Cricetulus griseus: one gene and its partners. The protein of the gene in region 4 interacts with the protein of the main gene of each other region in a biochemical or structural test. Links are inferred from orthologs where the notes say so. Each region holds a gene or a part of one and is shown on either strand. Other genes may lie near its edges. The genes, in order: Nr2c1, Pparg, Hif1a, Hdac3, Ep300, Gtf2i and Nr0b2.

Region 1 (3,961 bases), on a different chromosome or scaffold from region 4:
GAAAGCTCAGGCTTCCAGGATCTTAGCCCAGGACCTCGGCCACCCCAATCACAGAATGGAGGTGAAAGCTTGATGCAAATTGCATGAGGCTTTATTGTTGTTTAACGAGCTAACCCCATGTTAGCTCGGGTCTTTGATCCACCCGCCATGTCAGATGGCTAGCAAAGACAGTTTGAAGCCGCTGCGTACAGATCTTTATAGGGCAGCATAAGGGGAGTGTCTAGGGGTATGCACAGGCTCCGGATTGGTGTGCCTCCAGGCTTGGAGGGTTTGCCCTTTGTTGATTGGTCAACTGGTTAAGGCCCATAGGCCCTCCCAGGTGGTTGCTATGCTCTGTGTGTCATTGCTGTGTGGTTGTCTGTAAAGCACACCTAGAGCCATTAAGCATAGCACCACCAGCTAACTTCTGATTGGTTCCTTGCCACGAGGCAGGCATCTGACCTCTAAGTGACCAAGGCAAGGTTATAGCAAGCATGTGTTCGGCCATTATGGCTGCCGAAATGGGCAACTGGCTCCTTCACACCCAAGTACAATTTGACGTGATTTTGCCTCCGCTTGTTCTCATATTGCAGGGAAGTTGTATGTGATTGGGTTCTACCCAGACTCCTTAACACACTATAATCTATGAGAGTGCCTATAAAACCAAGTCCAGTTTTGCAGAGATCAAAGACATCTATCCCAAACTGATTAGGTTGTTTACTGTTACTCAAAACTTCCTTTAAGGGGCTGGAGAGATGGCTCAACAATTAAGAGCACTGGCAATTCCCAGTACCCATGTGGCCACTCACAACTATCTGTAACTTCAGATCCAGAGGATTTGATGGCCTCCACCAGCACCAGGCACACTTGTGATGGATGCACAGGCGTAAGGTTCAGGTAAAACACCCAAATCAATAAAACTTTAAAAAAAAAAAATCCTACAGCACTGGAGAGGAAGGTGGGAGGACCACGTGTTAAAAATCAAGTCTGGGTTTCCAACAGGTCGGGTTTCAAAAGACTTTCGAATTTCTTTTTTTTAAGATTTTTACTTTATGTGTAGGGTGTTGGGCCTGGACGTATGTTGGTGCACCAGAAGGGGGCACCAAATCCAATGGAACCGGAGTTACAGAAGGTTCTGACCGGTCGGTCCTGTGGGTACTGGGAATCAAACCGAGATCTCTGGAGGAGCAACAAGTACTCTTAACCATCGAGTCATCACCCAGCCCTCGGTTGTCGTTGATTTCTGATTATGCATGTTTGGGTATGTGCACACTGACTGCAAGTGCCCTCGGAGGCCCCGGCGCAAGTTGCAGGTCTAAGAACTTGATGCTCAACTCGCAGGACATCTGACCGACACGCGGCGGCGGAGGCGGCGGTCTCCCTCCGCACCTGCAGGGGGCAATCGACTTCCAGAACCGCCGCTGGACTCCGGGGCCTTCGGCTTCACCCAGGGAACGTCACCGCCGCTGGCCGCTTCGCCACCGCGCTAACGCGCAGGCGCCGAGCGCACCGCGCACCGCCGAGCCGAGGGAGGGGTCACGAACTCTGACCCCCACCCCCAAATCCACAAACCCAGAAAGCTCCCCTTGTCCCCTTGGCCTCGGCTACCCTCGCGTCAGCTCTCTCCAGCCCAGCGGCCGCCGCGGCGGGAAGGGTAAGTCGAGTGCGGGACGGCCCAACCGCCAAGCGTCGCGGCCCGGGGGCCCGAGCGCCCGAGTGTCCGAGCGCCCGGTTCCCCGAGTGCCGGGAGGTAGCGGTCCGCCCGAAGCTGCGGGAGCCCGGGCGGGGACGGTGACCTTTCACCCTCGGGGAACGCTTCCGTCTGGGCGCTGCTTCCTCCGCCCCGGGGCTGCGCGCGTGGTGGGTGCTGGGCAGGGAGCGGCGGGCCGCGGACCCCGGGGCTACGGGGTGTCGCCCTCCGCCCACACTTGATTCTTCTTCCACCGAGGGAACGTGCAACCGTGGCGATTGTATCTAGGAGGAGAGGTGGCCCATGCACTGGGCTCATCCCAGCTCCCGGTAGCCCTTTTGTTAAGAGTCCTGTCTCCAATTCCTGCAGGTGGCATCTCATGAAGGGCAGATATTGGCAGGTTGTCCCTTAGCCTTCAGTAAGCAGGTCAGCCTGAGTTGGAAAGGACAAGCAAAAAAAAAAAAAAAAAAAAAAAAAAACTTGAAGTTAAATCGTTTTAGGGCTTTCCCCACCCCCTGAAAGTTAAAAGTATGCTTCAGACATTGAAGGAGGGGTTTTGTTTTGTTTGTTTTTTGTTGTTGTTGTTTTACACAGTGTCTGCTTGTTTACCCAGTTGGGTAATTGTTTTTAAAACTTTATGTGTCCACTTTGGTGAATTTAGAAAGACATTATTGATCTGTTCTATTCAAACTGCAAAGATGAAAATCGTTTTGGGAGAGTGCTTTAGGAATTGTAAGTTTGGGGGATAAAAATCCAAGTAAATGAGAGAAGATTCCAGGAAGGTGAGAAACGTGGAAATTTATTGTGGACCATTTACTATTGATGACGAGCACGCTGGACTAACATGCTGGGCGACCCACAGGAGGAGCCAGGCTGGGGAAGCACCCTGTAATCCCAGTCCCCTGGAGGTTAGGATCCAGGCTAAAGATCGCCTGGAGTTCTAGGCCAGACTGGTTTAGAAGCTATGTATCCAAACCCCAGAAGACCTGTAGAAGATAAAGGAAAGGTAGCATGTCCTTAGTATCAATATGTCCAGTAACCTTTGACTGTGCATCTTGAACCTTTGGATACAATGTAATTTTTCCATTGGCGGTCATTCCAGAGGTCTGTGGTGGAAGGGTGGTGGTAACCAAAGTTCATGTGTCCGGCTCATTCTGTACTGCTTCCTCAGTCTGGTTTCAAACTCCTAACTCTTGTTTCAAAGCTGTTTTCGTGTTATTTTCATTGTCATTAATGAAGATAAGTATGTCTGTTACCAAAACAAAACAGAAACACGTGGTGCCAATAAATGTAACTGGTTTCATCATTCTGTGTGACACAGTTGAAAGATTTTGAAGGGGACAAATCCATGGCAACAAACCCTAAATAGCTACTGTGGTGTGATGAAGTGTGTAATTCCTATCCCAGTGATAGCCAAGGCAAACATTATACAATAAGTAGAAGACCGTCTGTGCTCTCACAATCAATTCTCTCTCTCTCTCTCTCTCTCTCTCTCTCTCTCTCTCTCTCTCTCTCTCTCCCATTTCTAGAAAAATGGGACTCTGTTCAAAAATTTTAAGAATTAACAGACGTTTGCTTGAGTCCCACTCAACTCTTCTTGTACACTGGATCATTCAGAAATAGTGTGTAAAATGGAATTTGAACCAGGTCTCAGAGATAAAGTAGGAGATTGAAATAGGGTATTGAGGATGTTGCTTTCCATGGTTTCTGTTCATCGTGATAAACTGCTAAAATGTTATCTTAGTGACTCCTACGTAGGGAATCCCTTGGACTTACATCGTGCTTTGTAAACCTGTTGACATTTAATATTGGAGTATGAAGGAATATGAACTTTCGATTTTCTGGGGAGGGGAAGATCCATTAGATTTTCAGAAAAGAATTAATTTATATGTATGGGTGTTTTGCCTGCATATCTGTGTGGAGGGTGTGTAGTGCTCTCAGGGGCCAGAAGAGTTGTCAGATCTCCTGGAACTAGGTGGGTGGAGGAACTGATTTTAGGCCTTTTGAAGGACATCTTTCCTGCCTGAGGAGGTTGTTTTTATTTATAAAATCATCTCTATGTAAATGTCTCAAAAGAGCCAGTTTTTACCCTGTTGTTTTCATGTTAGCTTTTCTAGTAAAACTTTGGATTTTATCTTTTAACATAAATATATTTCAGTTACTTCCTTGAAGCAACATTTTTAAATAATTGAATTTAAAAATAATCTGGCAAATGTCTTGAGAGCCATAAATCATTATGAAAAAAATGAAGCTTATGCTCCATCAAAGACATAACTTTATTGTTCAATTTCA
Region 2 (4,225 bases), on a different chromosome or scaffold from region 4:
AATCTCAAAGGTTGTGAAAGGTGTTACTGAGGATGACACCTCCACATGCACAAGCGTATATGTGAGTGGGCATGCATGCATGCATGTATGTGTACACACACACACACACACACACACACACACACACACACACACACACACACAAGAAAACTGCAAATCAGTAACAAAACACCAAAGATCTCAGTCCAAGACAATGCACAAAGGCTATCATAGCTATTTCTAAAAAGAAAACATACAAATGGTCAACAGGTATATGAAAAAAGTATTCAACATCACTAATCCCTGGGGAAAATGCAAATCAAAGCTACAATAATATATACTGTTCCATACCTGTTAGAATGACTGGTACATAAATTGATGAAATTATGTGGAATAACAGAAACCTTTTTGGAGATGTATACTATATACTGTGAAGACATTATAGAACACATGTGGAGATCTCAGAAAAATCAAAATTTCCATGTGATCAGCAGTCCCACTGCTAGACATATGACCAGGGAACTAAAACCACTATGTCAAGATTTTTATGCTCCTGCATACATTATGTCACTATTCGCTATAGCCAAAAGATGAAATCTATGTAAGAATCTAAGACACATAAACAAATAAAAGCAAACAACAAAAAAACCCTCTGTGGTATGTATATACACACATATGCCAAATATACACACATGTATATACATTCACACACATATACATATACTGGAGTATTGTGTGGCCTTTTAAAAGGAAAATTCTGTCCTTTGTAGCAATATAGATGACCCAAAGAAACATTATGCTAAGGGAAATAAGCCAGAAGCAGGAAAGCAAATACCATACATCCTTCCTGGTTGCTGAGGATTGAGCATAAGGGAAATGGGAAGACTGGACAGAGTTTCCATTAGGCCCTGGAGAACTGATAGACAACAAGATGACTACAGTTAGCAATACTGTATCATATAGTTGAAATTTGCTAAGGAAGCAAATCTTATGTTTTCTCAACACAGAGACAATGACAATTCTACAAAGTGATGGGTATGTTAATTAAATTGATGATGACAATTATTTCACAGTGCATACTTATATCAAAACATCGCTATGGTAATCATTTAAATACTTTATCAGCTATATCCTAATAAAAGTGGATGAAATTTGAAGTAAGAGAAATAGCCATTACCAGATCCAGCTGATGACCTGCTGTAAAGGACAATGTGAGCAGAGCTCACATTTAGATGGATTTGTTCCATGTAGCTACACACTGTGGGTGTCTGCTTTACTCAGGTAAAGGCTAACTTCCTTCTCACTGTAAAGCCATGTGGATGGTGCTAGGAAGACATAATGCACTCCTCCCTCCCTGGGTAGTCTGAGTGAACTCAGCTCCCTCTCTATGCATTCTTAGAGGACTGCTTTCTCCTCCAGAACTTGACTCATAGTCTGTTCTTTTGTCCATTTCAGAAATTACCATGGTTGACACAGAGATGCCATTCTGGCCCACCAACTTCGGAATCAGCTCTGTGGACCTCTCTATGATGGATGACCACTCCCATTCCTTTGACATCAAGCCCTTTACCACAGTTGATTTCTCCAGCATTTCTGCTCCACACTATGAAGACATTCCATTCACAAGAGCTGACCCAATGGTTGCTGATTATAAATATGACCTGAAGCTCCAAGAATACCAAAGTATGTTCACTTTTCAAATGGCTAAGAGATACATGAAGACAGCACATGTCTCTTCCCAACCTTTTTTCCCCTTTCCTTCCCTTCCCTCCCTCCTTTCCTTCCTTTCTTGATGCCTTCTTAGGAGCGTGTCTAGCCTGATTACATTGCCAGTTGTATCTTAGGCTTAGTCCATCCTGTAAACTTTGAATTCTTCCAGCTTCTTATTAGTTAATAAATCATAGTTGTAGACCAAATGACTGGTCACCACTAAGTTACTATTTACAGTTATATTTTTTTCTAATCTGTAGTTTGTGACATTTACATTGTACAAATTTACATTTTTAACACTGTAGCTGATTGATAGATCATCATGCCATTAAGTAAATTACCATCAAACATCAGACTTTAAAAAAAAAACAGAACTGAACTGAACTTTTCAAGATAAAGTATCATTTCTGTGATGCTGTTTCCTTGATTTTTATCTTGTGGGTTGATGTGCTGGTTTTCCAGAGTCACCCCTGTGTCACTGGCAATCATTACCTGATAATAAGTAAGAACTTCCTGTAATTTCTAGTTGTTTTCTTTAGATAGATAGTATACGTGGTTGTATTTATCTGTGTGGTTCTGGGTTAAGGCCAAATATGGAAATTCATTAGGCCTGAACTACCAGCAAAGGCAATAGGTTTCTCCTGCTCTCTATCACAGATCACTTTACAAACCACCTTTTGACTCAACTCTGTTGATAACCTGCCACCTCAGGCTGCAATTTTGGCATCTTCTCAGCCATGTTCCTTCTGTTGCTTTTTCAAGGAAGGTTTAAAACTACTTCTAAAGTGCAACATTTCAATGAAACCCATAATAACAGAATGAGTGCCAGATGCAGCCCATCCTTTTGCCAAATAAGCTGCATGGCTTCAAACCCTGAGCAGTGTCTGTAGGGTATGTGGGAGAGAGGGGGCAGACTTAATTCCCTCGATCTTAATTCCCTTCCGGATTTATTTGTGCAGGTGAGGTTCTGGGGTGTTGGGACTTGCCTGAGATGATAAAGTCTTACTTTTTCCTATCTGAGCACCAGTGCATTTTCATGCTCCCCAGCACCTCTCCTCCAAGATAGTAACGTTATGGCATGAAAATATGAAGGCCACCATGGGAAGCCACGGTGCCTTTTTAGGATTGTTTGTCATGAGATAACCATCTTCTCAAATTTCCCAATACACAGGTGCGATCAAAGTAGAACCTGCATCCCCACCTTATTATTCTGAAAAGGCCCAGCTCTACAACAGGCCTCATGAAGAGCCTTCCAACTCTCTCATGGCCATTGAGTGCCGAGTCTGTGGGGACAAAGCATCAGGCTTCCACTATGGAGTTCATGCTTGCGAAGGATGCAAGGTAAAAATAGAATTTAAAAAAATCATCCAAGAATTTTCTGAAATTTTACCTATTCCATTTCCTGTTGCAAACTCACTGTAAAAAAAATTAAGATAAAATAGTAATTTTTTTGGCAGAACTCATTCTTCAAGTAATATAATATTTGAAAAATCTAAGAAAAGCTGATAAAAGTGGGGTTATTCTGCCTCTCCTCCCCTTCTCCAAAATGACTCTTGAGACACTCATCCAAGTGTATCTTGCAGAATTTTTTTTAAAGGACTTGTCCAAGATGTCATAGAAAAACAGTGAGTGGTGAGCCAGCATCAGAACCTAAGTTCCCTGATTTCCCTAGGGTGGTTTTCGCCATGCTATGTAATCTCTTATACGCGTACGATTTGACAGATTATATTTGTGTATCATTTGATCCATAGACTAATGCTATAATATTGAACGTATTTCTACATTGTGGCTATAGAAATTGTGAATCAAAGGCATGGGGTCACCAGAGTGAGGGCTGCCATGGTAGAGCAGGTGCAAGATCGTAGATTTCACCCTTAGGAAAAGCAAAATTATGGATTAGTAAGGTTTGTTCCTACCAAGCCCTAAGCTAGTACTATGTTTCCTTGGCCCCGTGTCAATCTAAGCCTGTTCAATATGCGAAAAGAGATAACTATGCACTTCCTTTGTGAAAGAGTACTTTAGGAAGTTAGTGATATGCTGCCCCAGTTATAAGGAAAATACATGAATAGATTCATGTTTTTATATAGTTTTAAAATAATCTTAACATACTCAGGGATAAAGTAATATTTATCATGTGCCCATAGAATGCCTTGCCTTATAAATACTGGGGGTTTGGTAGTGCATGTCTTTAATACTAGCACTCAGCAGCAGAGGCAGGAGAATTTCTGTGAGTACAAGGCCAGCCTGGTCTCCAAACAAAATAAAACATAAATGAATGAAGTAAGTACTGCTTCACTTGAGCTTTTCCTGGGTAATAAAGACGAAACACACCAGGCAGGCATGTGTTAGTACTTCTGGGTTCCAGATGGACAATAGGCCAAAAAGGGAAACTAGTTTTTATTAAATTCTTACCCCCAGCAGATAGTACGCGCGCGCGTGCGCGCGCACGTGTGTGTGTGTGTGTGTGTGTGTGTGTGTGTGTGTGTGTGTGTGTGTGTGTGTGTTTTGCCAATATTTAACCACATTCTACAAACAT
Region 3 (3,500 bases), on a different chromosome or scaffold from region 4:
CCAAGGTAATGATCAGATTATGCCAATTTCTTATTAGAAATGCATCAGTTGTTTCTTGTAGGATTGTAGATGGGAAGATTTTTATTTATCAAAAGATGCTGTACATTCTGGATGTGGTGGTTTATGTCTGTGATCTCAAAACACTTGGGAGGCTGAGACAGGGAAGTCACCAAAAGTTCAAAGCCAGCCTGGACTACATACGGACTCCAGTCTAGTCAGGACTTTGTAGTCTGTCTGTGTCTCAAAAAAAAGAAAGAAAGAAAAAGTGTGCAATTAAATCTAAATATAATAAAATGACAAGCAAGTTATTTACCAGAAGATTGCCCACAGGTTAGGTTTTCTCATTGTGTTTTCATGTCTAGAATTACACCAGAAACATGAATGTTTAATTAAAAAGTATTTCATTATGTTGGAATTTTATTTACGTGTGTAAAACTATGTAAGAGCAATTCAAATAATTTTTAGGGCTAGATGCACCTCCACACTCAGCGGTAGCATGTGTGAGTGCATGTATGTGGGTTCATGTGGGTCACAGCACAAAGGTAGAGGACAGAGGACAGTTTGTGGGAGTTCATTCTCACCTTCCACCACGTGGGTTCCAGAAACTGAATTCACGCTGCCAAGTTTGGTAGCAGGTGCCTTACCTGATGGCCCATTTTAATGGTCCTGGATGCTAGAAATGTGATGTAAAGGTTTTCTTAAAATTGGGCAAATTTTTTTCTGTGTCTTGATTCTGAGGTGGTATAGAGCAAGAAATTCTTAGCAAACATTTAAAACTGAAAACTAGTACAAATCACCAGCTCCAAATCACCAGCACCAAGATGGGGTAGGGAGGACCTTTGTCTAGCATTGTGAGCCCCCATATCAGGGTTCTCAACCAGTGAGTCATGTCCCTTTTGACAGTTGACAGGCCCTTTCACAGGGGGCCCAAGACCATTGGAAAACACAGATGTTTACATTATGATTCAGAACAGTAGCAAAATTAGTTATAAAGTAACAATGAAAATAATTTTATGATTGGGGGTCACCACAACATGAGGGATTGTGTTAGAGAGTCTCAGCAGTAGGAAGGTTGAGAATCACTGCTCTAGATTTAATCCCTACTACCATTCTGGGATGAAGGAGAAAACACATATTTTTAAAGTATATTTTATTTATCTTTGTAATGCTGCCATCTAGTGTTGGTGTATTTTGGTTATCCCTTTTTGAAGAGTCAAAGTTTGATTTATGCTTCAATAAATCTGCTTTGTTGGTTTTAGAGTAAATGGCAGATCTTAAACTGTAACAGCTAAGCTATATTATTTAACATACTGTTATGAACAAAGATACCTTCCTTATGCCCATTCTGTAATTAGGTGTTTGCTTTTTAGACATATGAGTATCTTTTACCTGCACCTTGGTTTTTTTGTTTGTTGGCTTTTTTTAAGTCCTCTGGAATCTAAACTGAGAAGTGTCAACACTTGGTTCATGTTTGTTCCCAGAAAGACTTCAGTGAAAAATGTTTGTAATTGGTTTAATGTGACGAGGACAGACTTGTCTTTCTCATAAAATGGGTCCTCATGGTTTCCAGGCTGATACCCAGGGACCAGGAGGCTCCCTGAATCCGTTTTCAGCCCTTTTTCTTTTAGATGCCGTTCTTTCATGTGAAATCCTCTTAATTTTAGAAAATTAATATTTACTTTCCATTTAGTATGGATGTCCTTGGCTTAATAGTGAAATTTTATAGTTGATATTAAAGTGAGGCCTTGCCACAGGCCTAAAAATAGGGTAAAGATTTTCACTGAATGAAAAATAAACTGCTATAGATTTATACTGTATTTTAAGATAATTGTGACTGTCTTTGGAACTTTTGTCATTTCATTTAGCATCATTAAGATTTACTAATATACCCTGCTTTGATACCAACAGTGTGTATAATGAAATGTGTTTTAAAAAATAGGTCATGAGTTTGGGTAAAAGGGATAAGTCAGATATCAGGGACTGATCTAAGTGACTTTATACTAAGTACAGAATTTGGGGTTTTTTTGTTTGGTTTGTTTTGCCGGGGGGGGGGGGGGGGGATGGGGTGTTTTTTGGTTTTGTTGTTTGGTTTTTTGTTTGTTTTCTGAGACAGGGTATCTCTGTATAGCCCTGATGTCCAGGAACTCTGTCAGTAAACCAGGCTGGCCTCAAGTTCACAGAGATCCACCTGTTTCTGCTTCCAGAGTGCTGGGATTAAAGGAATCCACTGCCCAGCCAAAGTATAGAATAGTTAAGTGTGAGTTCTAAACTTATTAAGCAAAAGATAATCTTTTTTTTTTTTAAACAGAATTACTGAGTTGATGGGTTATGAGCCAGAAGAACTTTTGGGACGCTCAATTTATGAATATTATCATGCTTTGGACTCTGATCATCTGACCAAAACTCATCATGACAGTAAGTACAGTAGAGGAACTCAAGGAAATAGTGTCATTGCTTAAGTCCTGCAGTCTGTACTGTACCTCTACTTTCTAGTTAAAATTACCACCCAGTCTCCTTAGACAAGCATCCTACAGCCCCTTCATAAGATGTCTTGATAATGAAATTATTGTTTTGTTACAAATATTAGCAAAAAGTAAAGTCATTTAATAATAAATACATAAAGTATCCCATAAAAGTCAAATATTATAGATTATCTAGCCTACGTACATATGTACTGAAATCAGTGGTTGGTCAATAGGAGGTAGTCACAAAGCATTTGTTCATGAACTAGTGAGTAGGATTAGTATACACATGTGATAACTGACACCCTTGACATATAGGAGGTTTCTGAATTTTACTCAAATAAATCTATGATACCAAACTAAGTTAAACTTCATAATTCCTCACTTGCCTATTTAATCTGGACCTAAACATGACTTCCCAATATGATTGAGGGTACTGAGTTGAGTATCATTGAATTAGTGTAATTTGCCTTGAACTACAGAGTATGCCTAAGTTGTAGTCAGAGCATGGATACTCACAACGGCATCATCATGATTGATTTACTACATTCTCTTAAGTCAGTAATTAATTTAGACTGCATGAATTGACAGAAGGCTATAGTATGACATGAACTTATATATTCAAATGTTCTGAGTATAATTTTTTACAGTGATTGGTTCTCTGGTGCTTAAAAAAACTGGTACCATTTTCTTTCTTTTTTTTTTTCTTAAAAAGAATTTATTTAACTATTTTATGTGCATTGATGTGAGATCTCCTGGAACTGGAGTTATAGACAGTTGTAAACTGCCATGTAGGTGCTGGGAATTGAACTCAGGACTTCTGGAAGAACAGCCAGTGCTTTTAACCACAGAGCCACCTGGCCAGCCCCTTTTTTTATTTTTGAGACAGGGTTTCTATGTAGCTTTGTAGACCAGGCTGGCCTCGAACTCACAGAGATCTGCTTGCCTCTGCCTCCTGAGTGCTGAGACTAAAGAGGTGCACCACCACTACCCAGCTCCATTTTCTTAAATGTACCCTGTGATCAGTCTCTAGTCTGA
Region 4 (4,218 bases):
GGCTGGCCTCAAACTCAGAGATCTGCCTGCTGCTGCCTCCTGAGTGCTGGCTCAAAGGCGTGCATATTTACTGAACAATCAAATGAGTGAATGATAATTTATTGACTAGTAGGCTCCTTCTACTGCTGCCACAAGGCCTCATTGAAGAGCCTGGCCTCGAGGTGCTTCCCTCACCAGTCATCACCCACGTTGAAGGCATTAAGGCTCTTGGTGAAACCCTGCATATTGGTGGGGCTGACTCTCTGCAGGAAGTCGATGTAGTCCTCAGAATGGAAGCGGCACATGTCATGCTGGGAGGCCTGGTAAGGCTTGAAGACCTGGAGAATGGAGACAAAAGTGAAGTTGTTACCTTGAGCACTGCCTAGATGCTAGCTGAATTTCTACACTACCCTGATCTTACCCTTGAAGGCAGGATGCCTATAAGGCAGAAATTCCTCTCAGGGAGGCCAGCCAAACAGGATCAGCCCAAGAAGGCTACCAGAGTGACCAACTAGACAAGACCTCACTTAATTATAATCCCACCAAAACACTGAATGATACTCCCAATTCCATGACAGGGAACAACTGCCATGGTAACAACTGGAAAGCAAAAAGAGAGAGAAGAGTGCCTGAATTCCCAGAAATTTTCTGCCCAGTCTCAGGGAAAAAAAAAAATCCTTTTCTTTATCAGTCTATTTCTCTTACCTCCTTTTTCACTCTATACAAATTCTTTTTTAATTAAAATTGATTTACATTATTTCACTGGGGTGCGGCAGGGGAGGGGGGTAGGTAGGTATGCATGCCACAGTGAAGCCAGGGATAACTTAGATGTCAATTCTCTCCTTTCACCATGTGGGTTTCAGAGTTCAGACTGAGGTCACCAGGCTTGGAGCCAGGTACCTTGACCCACTGAATCATCACTCTAACCCCCATACCTGTAACCTCTTGATTCCTAAGAGTTGTAAAGTTTATCTCTCATTTATATTCTTGACCAAGAATAAAAGTCCCTTTCACTGTTCATTTGACACATGGTCTTGTTACTGGTTCCAGAATTCCAGGAAGGGGTCGGGGGCCGGGAGGCCCAGTTTGAATGCAAAACCTAACAATAAACCCAGGCATTACTATGCCAGCCCCAGGCTGAGACCACTTACACTGAACCCAGCCATGGAGACTGTCCAAAACATATATAACAATCTCCCTACCCCCATCCCTTAGTGAAGAAGAGATGCTATTAGCCAGGCAAGCTACTTTTATCAAGACCCCTGAGGATCATTTCGTCTAATTCCTCTCTTCAGCCCAGTCTCTATCTTCCCAGCCCACTTCTCCTGGCCCACATGCCTGTTCCTAGCTTCCTCAGTCCTGGTTCCCTCTATACTTATCTCCTCTCTTAAACTCAGGTTCTGGTCTCTTCTCTGGGTTTTTCACCATGGGATCAAATCCATGAGATATATGACAATCTAACTGAAATCCAAAGTCCTAAACCAAAGATTTATTATCCTCGGTGGGGGTAGAGGTGGAAGTTCAAACAATGATTTGAAAATTGGGCAAGAAACACTTTTTTTCCTCTCCTAGAAAACGGATAAATGGACACAGACAATTTTAGGGGATTCAGACTTGCACTAATACCACCTCAGTCTACTGTACACCCAAACCACTGCCTGCGCCTAAACACACCAATGACATGTTGAATACCTTCATGGTACACAAGGGCCAGGCTTGCTACATGAGAGATGGGAGAGTTGAGCAGAACCATATAGATACATTCTATATTAAAAAGTAAATTCCTGCCAGGCAGTGGTGGTGTACACCTTTAATCCCAGCACTGGGGAGGCAGAGGCAGGCGATCTGAGTTCAGAGACCAGCCTGGTCTATATAGAGTGAGTTCCAGGAAAGCCAGGGCTACAGAGAAACCCTGTCTCAAAACAACAATAACAACGACAAAAAAAGTAAATTCCCATATTCTCTACACATACACACCACAAAGGAGTGCAGAGTTGTCCTAGCTCCTTTCAGGTAAATGGAGGAGGAGAAGGCGAAGGAATTATGGGTGAAATGTCATTAGAAAATAGACCCTCATCCTTGGTCCTGAACCACTATCCCCTCTACAAAGAAGAGGGGCTAGAGGTGTAGTTCAGTGGCAAAGTACTCACTTAACGTGTGAAACCCTGGATTCTATTCACTAACACTTAAATAAATGAAGTGAAGGGATGAGCCTGTCGCCCTAACCCTAGGCCAGAGGCTGGTCTCCCCTCAAGTTAAAAGGAAGTCCCATCTAAGGTCAAAAATGTATGTCCCATTACGAAAGGGGACACCCCCGACTCAGTACCACCACCACCACCGCCATGCATATAGGAAACGTTCACGGTGCCTTCTATCCTGCTCCCCCTCTAGCGGCAGGTTGCACCTGGTATATCCAGCCCACCTAGCCTAAGGCCGCAGCTTGCTCCCAGGCCCAAACCCCCACAGAAGTGTCAGGACTCACGATCATCTTCTTATAGAGACCATAATGCAAGACTAGGCTATGAGTCAACGCCAGGCGATGGGGCTTCATCGGGTGCCCAGCTCCTGGGGATAGGGAAGGAAAGAGTTGGTCAGTTCCCACCCCTAGAGTTGCAGCCCTTCCCGGGAAACCTCTCCTCCCGCACAACTCTGTGCCCTACCGTAGTGGAAGTTGCCCACATCGGGGTCGTAGAAATACGCCACGGTCTTGGCCATGATGTTGGGGGACCAGGCCCCGAGCCTCAGCCGCCCGACCGCCGCCGGCCGCCAGCCCCACCCCCGCCGTGCGTGCTGCGCAAGCACGCAGCCTACCGCTGCGGAAAAGAGCCCTCGGCCCCGCCTCCCAAGATCACATCCAGACCACGCCCCTAGTGGGAGTCCCGCCCCTTGTGGGAGCTCCGCCCCTTCCCTTGCTGTCCCGGTCCGGATTCTGAGGCTTGAGACTCCGTGCTTGGGCGGGACCCGCGGCGTTATTCATAGGACACAAGGGCCGTTTCTTTCTGGACGAGGGTCATATCCTCGGGAAACCGAGTCATTCTGTCCACCCACTAGCCCCAAACGGGTCTTGGGGCAGCGTTCCCTCTCTAGGAACCTCGGAAGGTCTGGGCATCCTGCCTCTCTCAGGTGTAGAAAGCCAGATTTTCCCAGGCGCTAGGAAGATTGCTGGCTTTCCACTCATCCGGGGAATGTGAGGGCAGGACCTGTGCCAGACATGAGGGCTAGACCAGTGGCCAGAGCCCCGCCTGACCTCCCGACCACCCACGAGGACCCAGACTCACGCCGCACATTCCTCCTGGGGGAGGGGGCGGCGCAGTCACGCGCACATCTCACTTGCGTTCACACACGCGTAAGGCTCACGCTCTCCGCCCCGCACACCTGTGCTCCGCCCCTTGGTCCCGGGCCCGTGACACGATAGGCATTTGGGAACCCAAGACAGTTTCAGAGGCGCTCCCCCATCTCCTCCATTTCCCGGGCAGGAGTGGTCCGGAGCCTGCCGCGGCTCCCAACCAACCGGTCCACATCTTCCGCCATCCTTCCCTCCCCCCGTCTGCCGCGGCACCGGTATCCGCAGCCACCAGCCCGGAGCCGGTGAGGCGGCATAGGGGGGAGGGGGAGGAAGCAAGGGATGAGCTCCGGGAGGGCGTCGGGGGCCCTGAGCCGGACGAGGACGCCCCTGGAACCGGGACCCGAGCCAGAACCGGAGCGGGAGACAGAACCAAACCACCGGTACCGGGTGGGCCAGGTGGCCAGGGTGGGAGGAACGAAAAAGAGGGGACCCAGGAATGCAAGGAGGGGAGGGGGCTGTACGAGGCCTGACTCAGGCCGGTGTAGAGGAGGTATCAACACTGACTCCAGCGTGTTTTCTGAGCTCGCTGTTTGAGAATTTCGTCCCACCTTGTGCTGCAGTGTCCTTGGAAGGGACGGGGGCGCGGGATGAGCTGTAAAAAATAGCGGTCTGGATGTCAGAAAAGTGGGGCTGGGTCGTGGCAGAGGGCTTTCGTAGATGCCATCTGGCCTCCAGCCTGTGGCGGTCTTGGCCGACCAGCACCCTCAGTCTGGACAGCTCCTAGGTTCGGTCGGGGGTGGGGCGGACCTCTTATTGCGGATCCTAAGATACCTTCCTACTCTGCGGGTACCCAGCTGCAGCCCACTAAACCCAGGAGGCGCCCTGGCCCGCGCTCGCCCCCCAGGGCCTCATGTCGGAACCACAGCCTGGCCTGGAGCCGCCCCAACATGGGC
Region 5 (3,500 bases), about 180 Mb from region 4:
TATGGCCCACATTTTAACATGTGTCAGAACAGAAAAAAAAAAAATTAACAAAAATCCCTTTTAAAGATTTTTTTTTATAGTTCAGTATATAGAATTATTTCATTTTGCTGGGCGTTGGTGGTGCACGCCTTTAATCCCAGCACTTGGGAGGCAGAGGCAGGCAGATCTCTGTGAGTTCGAGGCCAGCCTGGTCTCCAGAGTGAGTGCCAGGATAGGCTCCAAAGCTACACAGAGAAATCCTATCTCAAAAAACAACAACAACAAAAAACCCAACAACAACAACAAAAAGAATTATTCCATTTTGGTTAAAAAATTTCTTTTCTTTTTATAGAGGGTCTCATTACTTAGCCAACACTGGTCTCAAACTCAGAGATCCAGCTCCCTCTGGAATACAGGGATTAAACACTTGGAACAAACAGTGAAAACTAATTTTGGCTGGTTTCATATTCACTAGCAGTCATAGACATCTGGGATTAAAGGCACAAACCACCACTACTTGGCTATATAAGTTTTAAATAAGAATTATCTCAAATGATACTTACTTTTAGCAGAAAACTTATTTTCTTTCCTAGTACGTGCAGTTTTCTTTAAACAGCCATCACAGACAAACCTAAAATGTAATTCATGATACAGCTTATTATAACATAAAAGTCAATTAGTTCAATAAGAGAGCATTCCACAGTGAACAAATCCTAGCCCCTATGACATAAACTTGAATCTCTTAACTTGTTTTTCCCCCCTGGGAAAAAAGATCAGCTCCTCTCTACAAAATGAGAAGTACCCTTTCTGAATCTCATTTGACTTCTAATTAATCTTTACCATAGTACAGCTATGTAACTTACTGGTCTCCTAGCCCCACAGAGTCATTCTGCATACCATTCCAATTTATGATGTCACATGAAGGAGGACTATGTAGTCCATGGCTTTATACCAACACCTATACCCTTTTAAAGAATGTACTATCAGTAAACATTTTCAAGTATGGCAAATTTAGTTATAGCTTACAGTAGCTTTAATATCAGCATTAAAATTCCTTCCTTTATTTTATGGAGACAGTTTCTCACTGTGTTGTCTAGATTTAAGTTCTTTCTTTATTTTTTTTAAATGTGTATGGGTATCTGCCTACCAAAGGATGACAGGTGGGTCCCATGCCTGTCCAGCCGTTACAGTTGTTTTTTTTTTTTGGGTGTCCAAACACTTTTAAGTGCTTTATCCAGTGAGCCAACTCTTCAGTTGCTCTTTATAGTTTTAAAAAGGGTTTGGACTGATCCTTTTCTAATTGAAGGAGAAAAAAAGTTCTGGCAATATTAGGATAGAACCCAGAGCCTAACTTGTAGCAGGAATGTGCTGTACCAGTAAGCCATATTCTGATCCCAAAGAAAATACTTAGAAGACTGTAACTTTGCCCAGATACAGTAATGTAGCACACCTTTGATCCTAGGACTCTGAGGGCACCAGAGGAGGGTTCTCGAGTTCAGGGACAGTCCAGTCTACATAGCATGTTCCTGGCTACATAGTGAGACCCTAACTTGACCACAATCAAACAATAACTTTGAACATATAATACAGTCTTGGATAAGAATGCTCATGGAAAGAGAACAAAATACTTCTGCCCATGTCCTAAGCCTCACCCAGATGGCCAGATGATCTCATGGTGAAGAACACAGATCTGGTGCATCTTTCTTCCACATTCTGTGCATTCAACAAACCTAGAAATGTAAATGATCAATTCTAAGACTGATCTTGAATTATCAGCAAACAAAATGTTCATTGTTTCCTGTAATTTCTAACAATTCAATAGTCAACCACCTGTCCTGCCAAAGGATTAAAAAATTAGTTTAGTCAAGATTTTTGGCTTTAATGTAATAGGTTAAATGAATTTGAAAACCATTAACGCATAGCTGTTAAATCAACAATCTAAAATTTCAATGCCCAAAGACCGAGAGAAGGTAACTGCTGAGACTATAGAGTCATCCCACCCCATTTTCAGAGTAACCAGAAGGAACCTTTGCTTTTTTACTTTTTTTATTCCCCTGAAGCTAAGGACTGAATCCAGGACCTTGCACTTGCTTTCAAGAACTCTACCACTGACTGAGCTATATCCCCAATCCCAGGAACCTGTACTTTTCATCAGTGCCCTAGGCTCAGAAAGCCAACATGTGGCTAAGGATTCTCCACATGCCCTGGAAATGCAGGAGAGAGCACAGCCCTGGGCAGTAGTAGTGTGATACTTGACAGTGAACACTGAAAGAACACTAACTGTAAGGGTGATAGCCTTAGCCCCGGAATGTTTCATATGTTTTTACTAGCTGTTAACATTTATGACATGGAGATGTTAGCATAAGAATATTAAACTTAAAAAAAAAAAAAAAAAAAAAAAACAATAGTAAGTCATCTCCCAGCACTTGGGAGGAAAAGATAGGTGGATCTCTGAGTTTGAGGCCAGCCTGATCAAGAGTGAGTTCCAGGACAGCCTTCAAAGCTACAGAGAAATCCTGTTTTGAAAAACCAAAATTAAGTTATCTTGGAAAAAAGGCCTAGAGTGCATTGACAATTCAGAGGAAACTACTTACAGTTCAGGATCTAGCGTGTCATTTTTTCTCTTGGAAAACTGTTCTTTATTTATTGTACTAAGGAGAGAAAATAAACATAATAAGAAAAAATACACATACAAAACATAACTTGAATATATAGCAATCTGATGTTTGAACAAAATTCATTTTCTGTATTTCTTTGGTCATAGAAAATTCAGTTGTATGTAAGGAACGTTCTACTTCATAATTAAAGGTGTGTCCTTCTGGAAATGGGGTCTTATTACATGGCTATGGCTGGCCTTGAGCTCACATAGCTCTACCTGCCTCTGCTTCCCTAGTGTTATCATATCTGGCTCTTCTCTTTTAAAGGCTGGTTCACTATATAATGTATACAGTATATAAATTTTATGATCTCTGGTTCCCAGACTGTGAACATGGTGGTTAGAAACTATTTAAGAATAGTTTTAGCCAGGCATAGTGGTGCACGCCTTTAATCCCAGCACTCAGGAGGCAGAGGCAGGTCGATCTCTGTGAGTTTGAGCCCCGCCTAGTTTATACAGTGAGTTCCAAGACAGCCAGAGGTATATAGTCTTAAATAACAAACAAAGGCTGAGGATAGAGAAATGCTTGAAGTTTGATGCTAGTCTAGAATAGAGTAATATCCTACCCTCATTGACACTCCAAAAACAACACAAAAACTAACCAGTTGATATGTCAACCAGAGGTGTGTACCTCCAATCCCCAAATTAGAAACCAACCTGTACAACATAGTGAGATCCTACTGGGGTGGAGTTTAAAAAAAAAAAAAAAAATCACTCCTCACTATTTCAGGGAGGTTTGCTTTTAGGAACCAGATGGTCAAGTACTGTATTTTTCCATGTATATCTGCATACCAGAAGATGGTACCAGATCTCATAACGGATGGTTGTGAGCCACCATGTGGTTTGCTGGGAATTGAACTCAGGA
Region 6 (4,102 bases), on a different chromosome or scaffold from region 4:
CTGCCACTGAAAACATATTCAAATACAGCTGCTATGGCACCATACACTTGGCACCTGGCAGAGGACATGGAGACTGGGCCCTAACCAGAGTTTGCCACTCCTCATACTGAGTTGCCTTACCCAGCCTTAATACATGGGGAGGTATTAGTCTTACTGCAAGTTTGATATGCCATGTTTTGTTGATATCCATGGGAGATCTGCCCTTCCCTGAACAGAAATGGGGGAGTGGAAAGAGGTGGAAGGTAGGGGACTGTGGGAGGGGAGGAAAAGGAAACTGAAGCCGGGATGTAAAATAAATATATAGATTAAAAAAAAAAAAAAGTAAAGGGACAAAGACAAAACCTAACCCCCTAAGGTCCATCATCCTAGCTATTCAAGCAGCTGAGACAGGGGAATTGACAAGTTTAAAGATGACCCGGGATACAGAGGTAATTCAAAGCCAACCTGGACAACTTAGTGACTATTTCAAAAAGTAAAACAGGGGTGGAGTGTGACTTAATGGTAGAATGCCAGTCCATCTTCAAGGTGCTGAGAGCTTTGCTCAATAGGAGTGCTTGAATAAGGCGCATGCTACTGTGTTTCATACTCCAAAATGGTAAATATGGGTACTAGCATGCCCCTACCCAAGGACGACCCAAGGGACAAGAGAAAGTGATCCACATTTTAACAGGGCAAAAAAGAAAAGAACTCATAATCCCACAACATAAAAGGCCTTACAGAAATGAGCGCAGATGAGTGAGAAAGTTTTCCGTGCCTCCAGGGTGTGAGGCAAGATCCAGAGACTCAGGCATAAAGGAGCCCGAGGCAACAGACTTAAAACAAACAAACAAAAAAAACCCTGGTGTAGGAAGTATCAGCCATTCCACATCCAAAACCAGGTGCCTGTGGGTACCGTACCCGCACCCCCTTATTTGCAAACCAGCTTCCCTTTTGCCCTGTAAACGCCCAGAGACAATCAGGCAGGCTGAGCCAGCAGCTAGCACACAAGCAGCCGGGATGCAATGGCCTCACACTTCACCTCCTGTTCCCAAACACAGCAGGCACTCCACCAGCACCATCTCAGATCTGCACTCTCAGCAGTCAAGGAGCACAAAGCCTCGAGGCACCGAGATGTACTAGCGGACAAAACTTGAGAGCTAGACCTGTGATGCCAGCACCAGCACTCACAAGGATCGGAAGCTCAAGGCAAGCCTCAGCTACAAAGCGAGTTCCACGGTAGCCTGAGATACAAAATACCTTACTTAAAAATTAAAAAACAGCCGGGCGTTGGTGGCGCACACCTTTAACCCCAGCACTCGGGAGGCAGAGGCAGGCGGACTTCTGTGAGTTCGAGACCAACCTGGTCTACAAGAGCTAGATCCAGGACAGGCTCCAAAGCCACAGAGAAACCCTGTCTGGGAAAAAAAAAAAAAAAAAAAAAATAAGCAAAACTTGGGCAGGACGTGGTTGCACCGGCCTTTAAATTCCAGCACCCGCCAGGCCGAAGCAGGCGGATCTCTATAAGTTCCAGACCAACCAGGCATACTGAAGTTTCCCGCACCCCCAATAAAAGGTAGAAACTTGAAAAAGAAATGGAGGTGCAGGAGTAAACTTTTTTCCATCCCTTCTTTTGTACCCAGTTACCCCGACGCAGACTGATTATTTCCACAGCCTCAAGACTAAAGTCTTCCTTCCGGTCATTGTGTTTATTTCCATCTCCTCTCCCCCTACTCCCCCCCCCCACCCCCGCCAAAAGAAAAGTCGTGTCCCCGCGGGATCCCAAGGCAACAGCTTCGGACAAAGCCCACAAGGCTGCGCTCCACCTGGGAGCAGGGCGGAGCGCCGGCCGGCCAGGGCGGGCGCTGGCACTGGCGCAGGCTACAGAGCCTAGCAGCTCCCGCCCCCCTGCCAGGGCCCCCGCCGCAGTTACCAGGGCACCGACGACGCCCCGCCCCGTGGTGCCCGCCGGCCAATCGCGCGCGGTCTGCTGCCCTAAGAGCTGCGAGCCCCAGATACACACGCACACACACATACATACACACACACACACACATACATACACACACACACACACACACACACGCGCGCGCGCGCGCGCGCGCGCACACACAAACACATACACACACACGCACGCACACAGCGAGCCCGAGCGCGACCCCACGGGGCTCACTCAGGAGGGGCCGCGGCACCGCGCGCCCCCGGGAAGCCGGATCGGCCAATCAGAGCGAAGGAGAAGGCTGCGCGGCCCCGCGGGGTGCGCTCGCTCTCTCGCTCACGCGCGGGGGGCTGCTCGCGCGAGACCGCCCCTCCCTCCCCGTCCCGCGACCCCCCCACGCGCGCGCGCGCCCGTCTGTCTGTCACGTACGCACGCGCAGAGCGCCGCGAGCCCTCCCCCACGCGCCCCGGGTGCGCGCGTGCAAACTGCCGTCGGCCCCCCACCTCAGCCGCCCCATCCCCCCCAAAGCCGCTGCCCAGGCCCCCGAGTGGAGTGGGCTAGGGGGGGAGGGGGGTCTCGGCGCGTCCTCTTCCTCACCCCGAAGTTGTCCCCGCCGTCACTCACAACGCGCCGGGCGACCCCAACTCTCACGCCCCGGGCGGTGCGCACGAGCCCGACGGGGGCAGAGTGCGGAATAAAGACGCCCCCGTCGGCCACGGCGCCCCGAGGCCGGAGGGGACGCGAGGGCAGGGGACTCACCCGAAGTGCAGCCGGGGAGGGTCGGGTCGGGTCGGGGAGGGGGGACGCGGACAGCGAGCGGGCGTAGGCCGGAGGGGCCTCGGCGGAGGCGAGCTGGCGAGCCGGGTGGAGGTGAGAGGGCGAGGGGGGCCCTGCGTCTCGGCCGCGCTCCTGTCACCGCCGCATGGCCGCCCCCGGCGGGGCCTCGCTCCTCGCTCGGATCGCCTCACGCGGGGGGAAACGGAGGGACGGAGCCCGGGGGTGAGCGCGGCAGGCAGGCGGCGAGCGCGTGCAGGGAAGCGGGGGGGCGCCGGTGCCCCCTTTTCTCTGCTCTCCGAGCTTCTCTCTCACCCTCCTCCTCCTCCTCCTCCTTTTTTCCCCTTTTTTTTTTTTTGCTTTTTTTTTTTTTTTTTGTTCCTCGAAGGTGCCGCTGCGCGTGCGCACGAGCAGCGCCGCCCACCGGGAGTTGTAGTTCTAGACTGGCGCTCACCTACACGGCGGGTGGGTACCCCGAACTATAACTCCCAGACAGCCTTGCGCGATGAACCCAGATTCTCTCCCCACCGCCCCCCTTTAGGCCGAGGCGAAGCGCCGCGGCGCCCGGCCCTCTCCGGCTAGGATTGTCGATGGAGGAGCGCGGGTGGTGGGAGCGAGAACATGGCTGCACCTGGGGCCTGCGCGGCCGTCCGGATGGGGGAGGGGAGTGGGGTGTGTGTGTGTCCTCCCCACCTTGCTTCTGCTGCAGGCCACAACTTCCACTTAAATAACTGTTTGCAACCTACATTCCCTAACAAATTGCAAAGTTGGGGACATTGCAAAGACCAGGGGAGCCCCAGGGCTGGACTATCGCCTGTTTTGCAGAGGGAAGTCCCCCAGCTCCCGTACACAAAGAACTCAATGTTTTCAAAGCTGGCCTTAGAAGCAACCAGAACGAACTTGCCCTAACTTGGTACAGACAACGGATGGGAGGGGGTGGGTAACTCGTGATTTCTTTTTCTCCTCTCTCGAGTCTTTTGCACACCTCTACAGTTAGAAAGAAAACTGGGAAAATACCAATTGTTCCCACAACTACAAAGAGATTTAACTTAAAGCCCCTCCGTCCATTATATATATATATTTTTTTACTTCTCAACTATTTGGTAAGATCAGTGACTTTAGAGAGTAACAACTAACTGTTCGTCTAACTTAAATGCAAAAGTTTGAAAAGCCCGTGTCTGAAGAACTTGTTAATGCAGAGCACTAAATTGAGTGAATTTGTGGAGTTGGTTCGTTTGTTTGTTTTTTTCCTTTTTCTCTTTTTCTGCCCACCCCCTACGCCAGCCGAGTATTCGGGCGCCCTCCCCCACCCGCTGCTTCTCGGTAGGTGGCGGCCACAAGGCTTTTTCCAGCCTCCCAGCCTCTTTGTCGCTTGCTGGAAAACTTTCCATGCAAGCCGGTCTTTTGATGTAG
Region 7 (4,015 bases), about 180 Mb from region 4:
AGGGCTCCTCATCCGGAGCACCAGGTTGCCCAAGAGTGTGGCGACAACAAACCTGCTAGGCAAGGCTAGCCAAAGGTCAGGAACCTGACACAGCCAAGGACCTCCCATTTCCCTCATACCTCGCCTCTAACCACTGAAGACAAATATCCAGGGCAGAGAAGCGGCGTGTTAGCAGAGATGTTTCCAGTCGCACCATAGGTGGGCCACACCTGCAGACCAGGCAGGGGCTGGGGGCTGGGAGTGGGGGTAGCTGCTAGCCACCTGTGCTGGGAAATTCACACTTCAGCTGCACAGTTGATTGGGGGGGGGGGAGGGGCAAACAAGGATGACTTCGAGGTCAGACATATCTGTGCTCTGTCCCTTCTGGTTGGAGTGACTTTGAGCAGGTCACTTCTCTGGGAAGTTCTCAACATTACAAGGGAAAGTGATCCATATAGAGTGGGTCCTCAGTAACTGGCAGCCTTGTAAGTAACAATTTTGCAAGGGCCAGCAGGCCCAGCCCCTCTGGAGCTATTGGAGCACAGAATGGGAGCAGGGGGCTCTGGAATGGCCTTCCTCCAACGGGGCCTCTGCACTGGAGTCACAGGAGGGGGTACCTCCTAGACTGTACAATGAGCAAAGTCCCCCAGGGACCTGGCTCCCTTCCCTGCAGCCTGTTCCTTACCGACAACAGGAGCAGAGCCCCAAGGTTAGGCAAACACAGCAGCGATAAGGCACTTCCAGGCTGGGTCAGGCATTCAAGGCCTTAGCTGGCTTTCTCTGGCTGGCTCCTTGGCTCAGTGAGAACCCTGGTCTTGTGTGCATGAAAGTGGGCTCCAATCGAAACAGCAGCAGTCACAGCCACTGGCTGGTTGAGCACCTGAGACCTTGGTGCCCTGGTACAGCCTGGGTTAATGACCTTGTTTATACACTGAGTCATCCGATAAAGGGCATCCAGGCAGTGGGCAGGTGGCCCTGTGCCCTGCAATGGCCACTTCATTGACTAAAGCGATAGCAACGCCACGTGGAGCTCCAGTGCCCCTCCCCCTCCGGTCCTGCCAGGGTCAGTGTATGTGTGCATTGTGTGTGTATGTTGGCTTTTTTTTTTTTTTCAATGAACATGACTTCTGGAGTCAAGGTTCCACGGCCATTCCCCCTCCCGCCATCGAGGATATAAATAGCACTCACAGTACAGAGGACCGATAGCTGGGAAGAAACAGGAGCGAGATACCAACCATGAACTCCAGCCAGTCTGGGGGCTGCCCCTGCCAGGGCTCTGCAGGCCGCCCTGCTATTCTGTACGCGCTTCTAAGCCCCAGCCTCAGGGCCAGGCCCATTGCACCCGCATCTCGCAGCCACTGCCTCTGCCAGCAGCACCGGCCTGTCCGTCTGAGTGCTCCACAGCGCACCTGCCGGGAGGCCTTGGATGTCCTAGCCAAGACAGTAGCGTTCCTCAGGAACCTGCCGTCCTTCTGCCACCTGCCCCATGAGGATCAGCGACGGCTGCTGGGGGTCTGCTGGGGCCCTCTCTTCCTGCTTGGGCTGGCCCAAGATACTGTGACCTTTGAGATAGCTGAGGCTCCAGTGCCCAGTATACTTAAAAAAATCCTTCTGGAGGAACCCAGCAGTGGTACGCAGGGTACCCAGCTACCCGACCGGCCACAGCCCTCACTGGCTGCCGTGCAGTGGCTCCAGCGTTGTCTGGAGTCTTTCTGGAGCCTTGAGCTGGGTCCCAAGGAGTATGCCTACTTGAAAGGAACCATCCTCTTCAACCCAGGTGAGCTCCCAGACACTCCTGGATGGGGGCCACGCTGGGAGGGGACAGGACCCGTCCAGGAAAAGAATCGTTGTCTCTTTGCGTCCTTGTTAGCTCCAAACAGGTATCTCCCAGGAGAGACAGGGAGGTTAAGCAACTACCTGAAGGCCACACAGTAAGGCAGAGGCAGAACAGGCCTGGGAATGCAAGTCAAGCTAATGCAGAGATTGGTCTTTGCCGCTGTGCTGGAAGGGTAGAGTGGGTAAGGCAGACACCGCCGTGTGCAGTGTCTGCCTTCTTCAAGGGCAGGCTGCACAGTGAAGTTCTGAAGGTTAAAGTCCTCCGTGGGTTCAGAGCGGCCACACAGAAAGAATGGAAGGGTGGGGAGTGGTCACTTCTTGGGTGGAGAGCAGATGGGGTGGGGTGAGGGGCGATGAGGAGAAATGAGGCGGTTTTACCACGGAACCCTGGCTGGCCTAGAACTCACTACGTAAAGCAAGTTGACCTCAAACTAACACCATGCCTGGCATGGGAAAATATTCTTTGTAACTTTGAGGAAGACAAGAGACAGGCCTTGGAAGTTAAAGTGTAACGCCAAACGGCAGTAACAGTACCAAAGAATCACATGCATTTCCCATATGTCAGGACTTAGCCTAAGGGTTTTACAAATAGTGATTTGGTTAAACCTCACAGCAGTAGTGGGCAACAAGTATTGTCATTGTTCCCACTAGATAGATGAAGAAACTAAGGCACAGAGATTTAAACTACTCATCTAAGGTCACTCAGAAAGATGAAACTACTTGTCCAAGATCACTGAGCTCACAGTGGCAGTGCTGGGATTCAAATTCAGCCAGCCTCGAACTCACAGAGATCCGCCTGCCTCTGCCTCCCGAGTGCTGGGATTAAAGGCCTGCCACGAACAACCGGCCTCTGGTTCTTTTTTGGTTTTGGCTTTTTGTTTTGTTTTTTGAAACAGAGTTTCTCTATGTAACAGCTCTGACTGTCCTGGAAGTAGCTCTGTAGACCAGGCTGGTCTTGAATTCACAGAGATCTAACCGCCTCTGCCTCCCAAGTACAGGGATTAAAAGTGTGTCACCACCTCGAAAATCTGTCTCAAAAAACAAAATAAGAAAAGAATTATTTAGATATTATTTTATGTGTGTAAGTTTCTACCTGTATGTATGTGTATCATCTGGTGGGAGCTCACAGAAGCCGGAAGAGGGTGTCAGGAATTGGAATTATAGGCAGTTGTGAGCCACAATGTAGGTGGGAACCGGACTCAGGTCCTCAGTCATAGCAGGAAGTGCCCTTAACCACAGAGCCATCTCTCTAACTCGTATGTCTCAGCCCTTATCTCCACATAAATGGAATAAAATGTAGGAGATGGTGATTGAAACCTCCAAGGTGGCAGAGTGGGCCAATGCGTGGAACTCATTAGTAAAGTATTACCTCCCGAGCTACAGGTCCTGGGTTTGTTGCCTAACACCACCAAACAATTAGGTCTCTTCTGTATCTGTAAGGGCTGGGAATGTAGTTCAGTGGTACAACTATCGCCTGGCATGTTAAAGGAACCAGCAATGTTCAGCCCAAATGTAGAATGCCTGCCAAGCATGCCCTAGTATGCACGAGGCCCTGCATTGCACCCCGGCATATGAGGGGGGGAGCCACTAACATTCTCACACCCTGGGCTAGCCTCCACGGAGCAGCTGCTCACCAGCCCTCTTCACCCTCTCTGCCACAGATGTGCCAGGCCTCCATGCCTCTTGCCACATCTCCCACCTGCAGCAGGAGGCTCACTGGGCCTTGTGTGAAGTCCTGGAGCCCTGGTACCCTGCTAGCCAAGGCCGCCTGGCCCGAATCCTCCTCATGGCCTCTACTCTCAAGAACATTTCATGCAGCCTTCTGGTGGATCTCTTCTTCCGCCCTATCATCGGAGATGTTGACATCGCTGAACTGCTGGAAGACATGCTTTGGCTGAGGTGACCTGCAGAGTGGAATCCAGGGCTTCCAAAGGGGAGCTTCAACTCCCCAGGAGCAGCCCTCACCTCAGCCATGCCCCCAGCTTGGACTTCCTTGGTTTGGACACAGTATACTAACTGCCTAATAGGTCCTTGGTGGCCCCCCAAAGTCTTTGGGCCAGGGACAGAGATGGGAGCATGAATGAGGCTGTACTTCAGGCCAGAATTCCTCCTGACTTTGTATAGAACTCAATTAAGTTATTGATTTTTGTAATAAAAGGTATGACCTGCTGACACCACGGTTGCCTATGGAAGGGGCAAG

What was found.
Region 1: the proteins of Hdac3 (region 4) and Nr2c1 form a complex in vitro, tested with the Homo sapiens proteins (4 studies listed by BioGRID). The link is inferred for Cricetulus griseus from reciprocal best matches to the Homo sapiens genes HDAC3 and NR2C1.
Region 2: the proteins of Hdac3 (region 4) and Pparg form a complex in vitro, tested with the Homo sapiens proteins (3 studies listed by BioGRID, with this or other methods). The link is inferred for Cricetulus griseus from reciprocal best matches to the Homo sapiens genes HDAC3 and PPARG.
Region 3: the proteins of Hdac3 (region 4) and Hif1a form a complex in vitro, tested with the Homo sapiens proteins (2 studies listed by BioGRID). The link is inferred for Cricetulus griseus from reciprocal best matches to the Homo sapiens genes HDAC3 and HIF1A.
Region 5: the proteins of Hdac3 (region 4) and Ep300 form a complex in vitro, tested with the Homo sapiens proteins (2 studies listed by BioGRID). The link is inferred for Cricetulus griseus from reciprocal best matches to the Homo sapiens genes HDAC3 and EP300.
Region 6: the proteins of Hdac3 (region 4) and Gtf2i form a complex in vitro, tested with the Homo sapiens proteins (2 studies listed by BioGRID). The link is inferred for Cricetulus griseus from reciprocal best matches to the Homo sapiens genes HDAC3 and GTF2I.
Region 7: the proteins of Hdac3 (region 4) and Nr0b2 form a complex in vitro, tested with the Homo sapiens proteins (2 studies listed by BioGRID). The link is inferred for Cricetulus griseus from reciprocal best matches to the Homo sapiens genes HDAC3 and NR0B2.

What each region holds. Positions count from the first base shown.
Region 1 is NW_023276806.1:160,157,024-160,160,984, forward strand, and holds the start of Nr2c1 (nuclear receptor subfamily 2 group C member 1), read left to right. Parts: upstream 1-1,161; 5' UTR 1,162-1,633; exon of another isoform or gene 1,634-2,101; intron 2,102-2,709; exon of another isoform or gene 2,710-2,918; intron 2,919-3,961. UniProt on the Homo sapiens protein: Orphan nuclear receptor. Binds the IR7 element in the promoter of its own gene in an autoregulatory negative feedback mechanism. Primarily repressor of a broad range of genes.
Region 2 is NC_048601.1:29,399,470-29,403,694, reverse strand, and holds the start of Pparg (peroxisome proliferator-activated receptor gamma), read left to right. Parts: upstream 1-1,425; 5' UTR 1,426-1,442; coding exon 1,443-1,662; intron 1,663-2,860; coding exon 2,861-3,030; intron 3,031-4,225. UniProt on the Homo sapiens protein: Nuclear receptor that binds peroxisome proliferators such as hypolipidemic drugs and fatty acids.
Region 3 is NC_048598.1:129,464,591-129,468,090, reverse strand, and holds part of Hif1a (hypoxia-inducible factor 1-alpha), read left to right. Parts: intron 1-2,308; coding exon 2,309-2,415; intron 2,416-3,500.
Region 4 is NC_048595.1:199,688,234-199,692,451, reverse strand, and holds the start of Hdac3 (histone deacetylase 3), read right to left. Parts: upstream 2,801-4,218; 5' UTR 2,695-2,800; coding exon 2,640-2,694; intron 2,545-2,639; coding exon 2,462-2,544; intron 318-2,461; coding exon 175-317; intron 1-174. Other genes in the region: Rell2 (RELT-like protein 2), read left to right, coding at 4,176-4,218. UniProt on the Homo sapiens protein: Histone deacetylase that catalyzes the deacetylation of lysine residues on the N-terminal part of the core histones (H2A, H2B, H3 and H4), and some other non-histone substrates.
Region 5 is NC_048595.1:378,783,365-378,786,864, reverse strand, and holds part of Ep300 (histone acetyltransferase p300), read right to left. Parts: intron 2,631-3,500; coding exon 2,574-2,630; intron 1,710-2,573; coding exon 1,632-1,709; intron 611-1,631; coding exon 543-610; intron 1-542. UniProt on the Homo sapiens protein: Functions as a histone acetyltransferase and regulates transcription via chromatin remodeling. Acetylates all four core histones in nucleosomes. Histone acetylation gives an epigenetic tag for transcriptional activation.
Region 6 is NC_048597.1:113,419,601-113,423,702, forward strand, and holds the start of Gtf2i (general transcription factor II-I), read right to left. Parts: upstream 2,801-4,102; 5' UTR 2,675-2,800; intron 1-2,674. UniProt on the Homo sapiens protein: Interacts with the basal transcription machinery by coordinating the formation of a multiprotein complex at the C-FOS promoter, and linking specific signal responsive activator complexes.
Region 7 is NC_048595.1:19,710,461-19,714,475, reverse strand, and holds Nr0b2 (nuclear receptor subfamily 0 group B member 2), read left to right. Parts: upstream 1-1,215; coding exon 1,216-1,756; intron 1,757-3,476; coding exon 3,477-3,718; 3' UTR 3,719-3,980; downstream 3,981-4,015. UniProt on the Homo sapiens protein: Transcriptional regulator that acts as a negative regulator of receptor-dependent signaling pathways. Specifically inhibits transactivation of the nuclear receptor with which it interacts.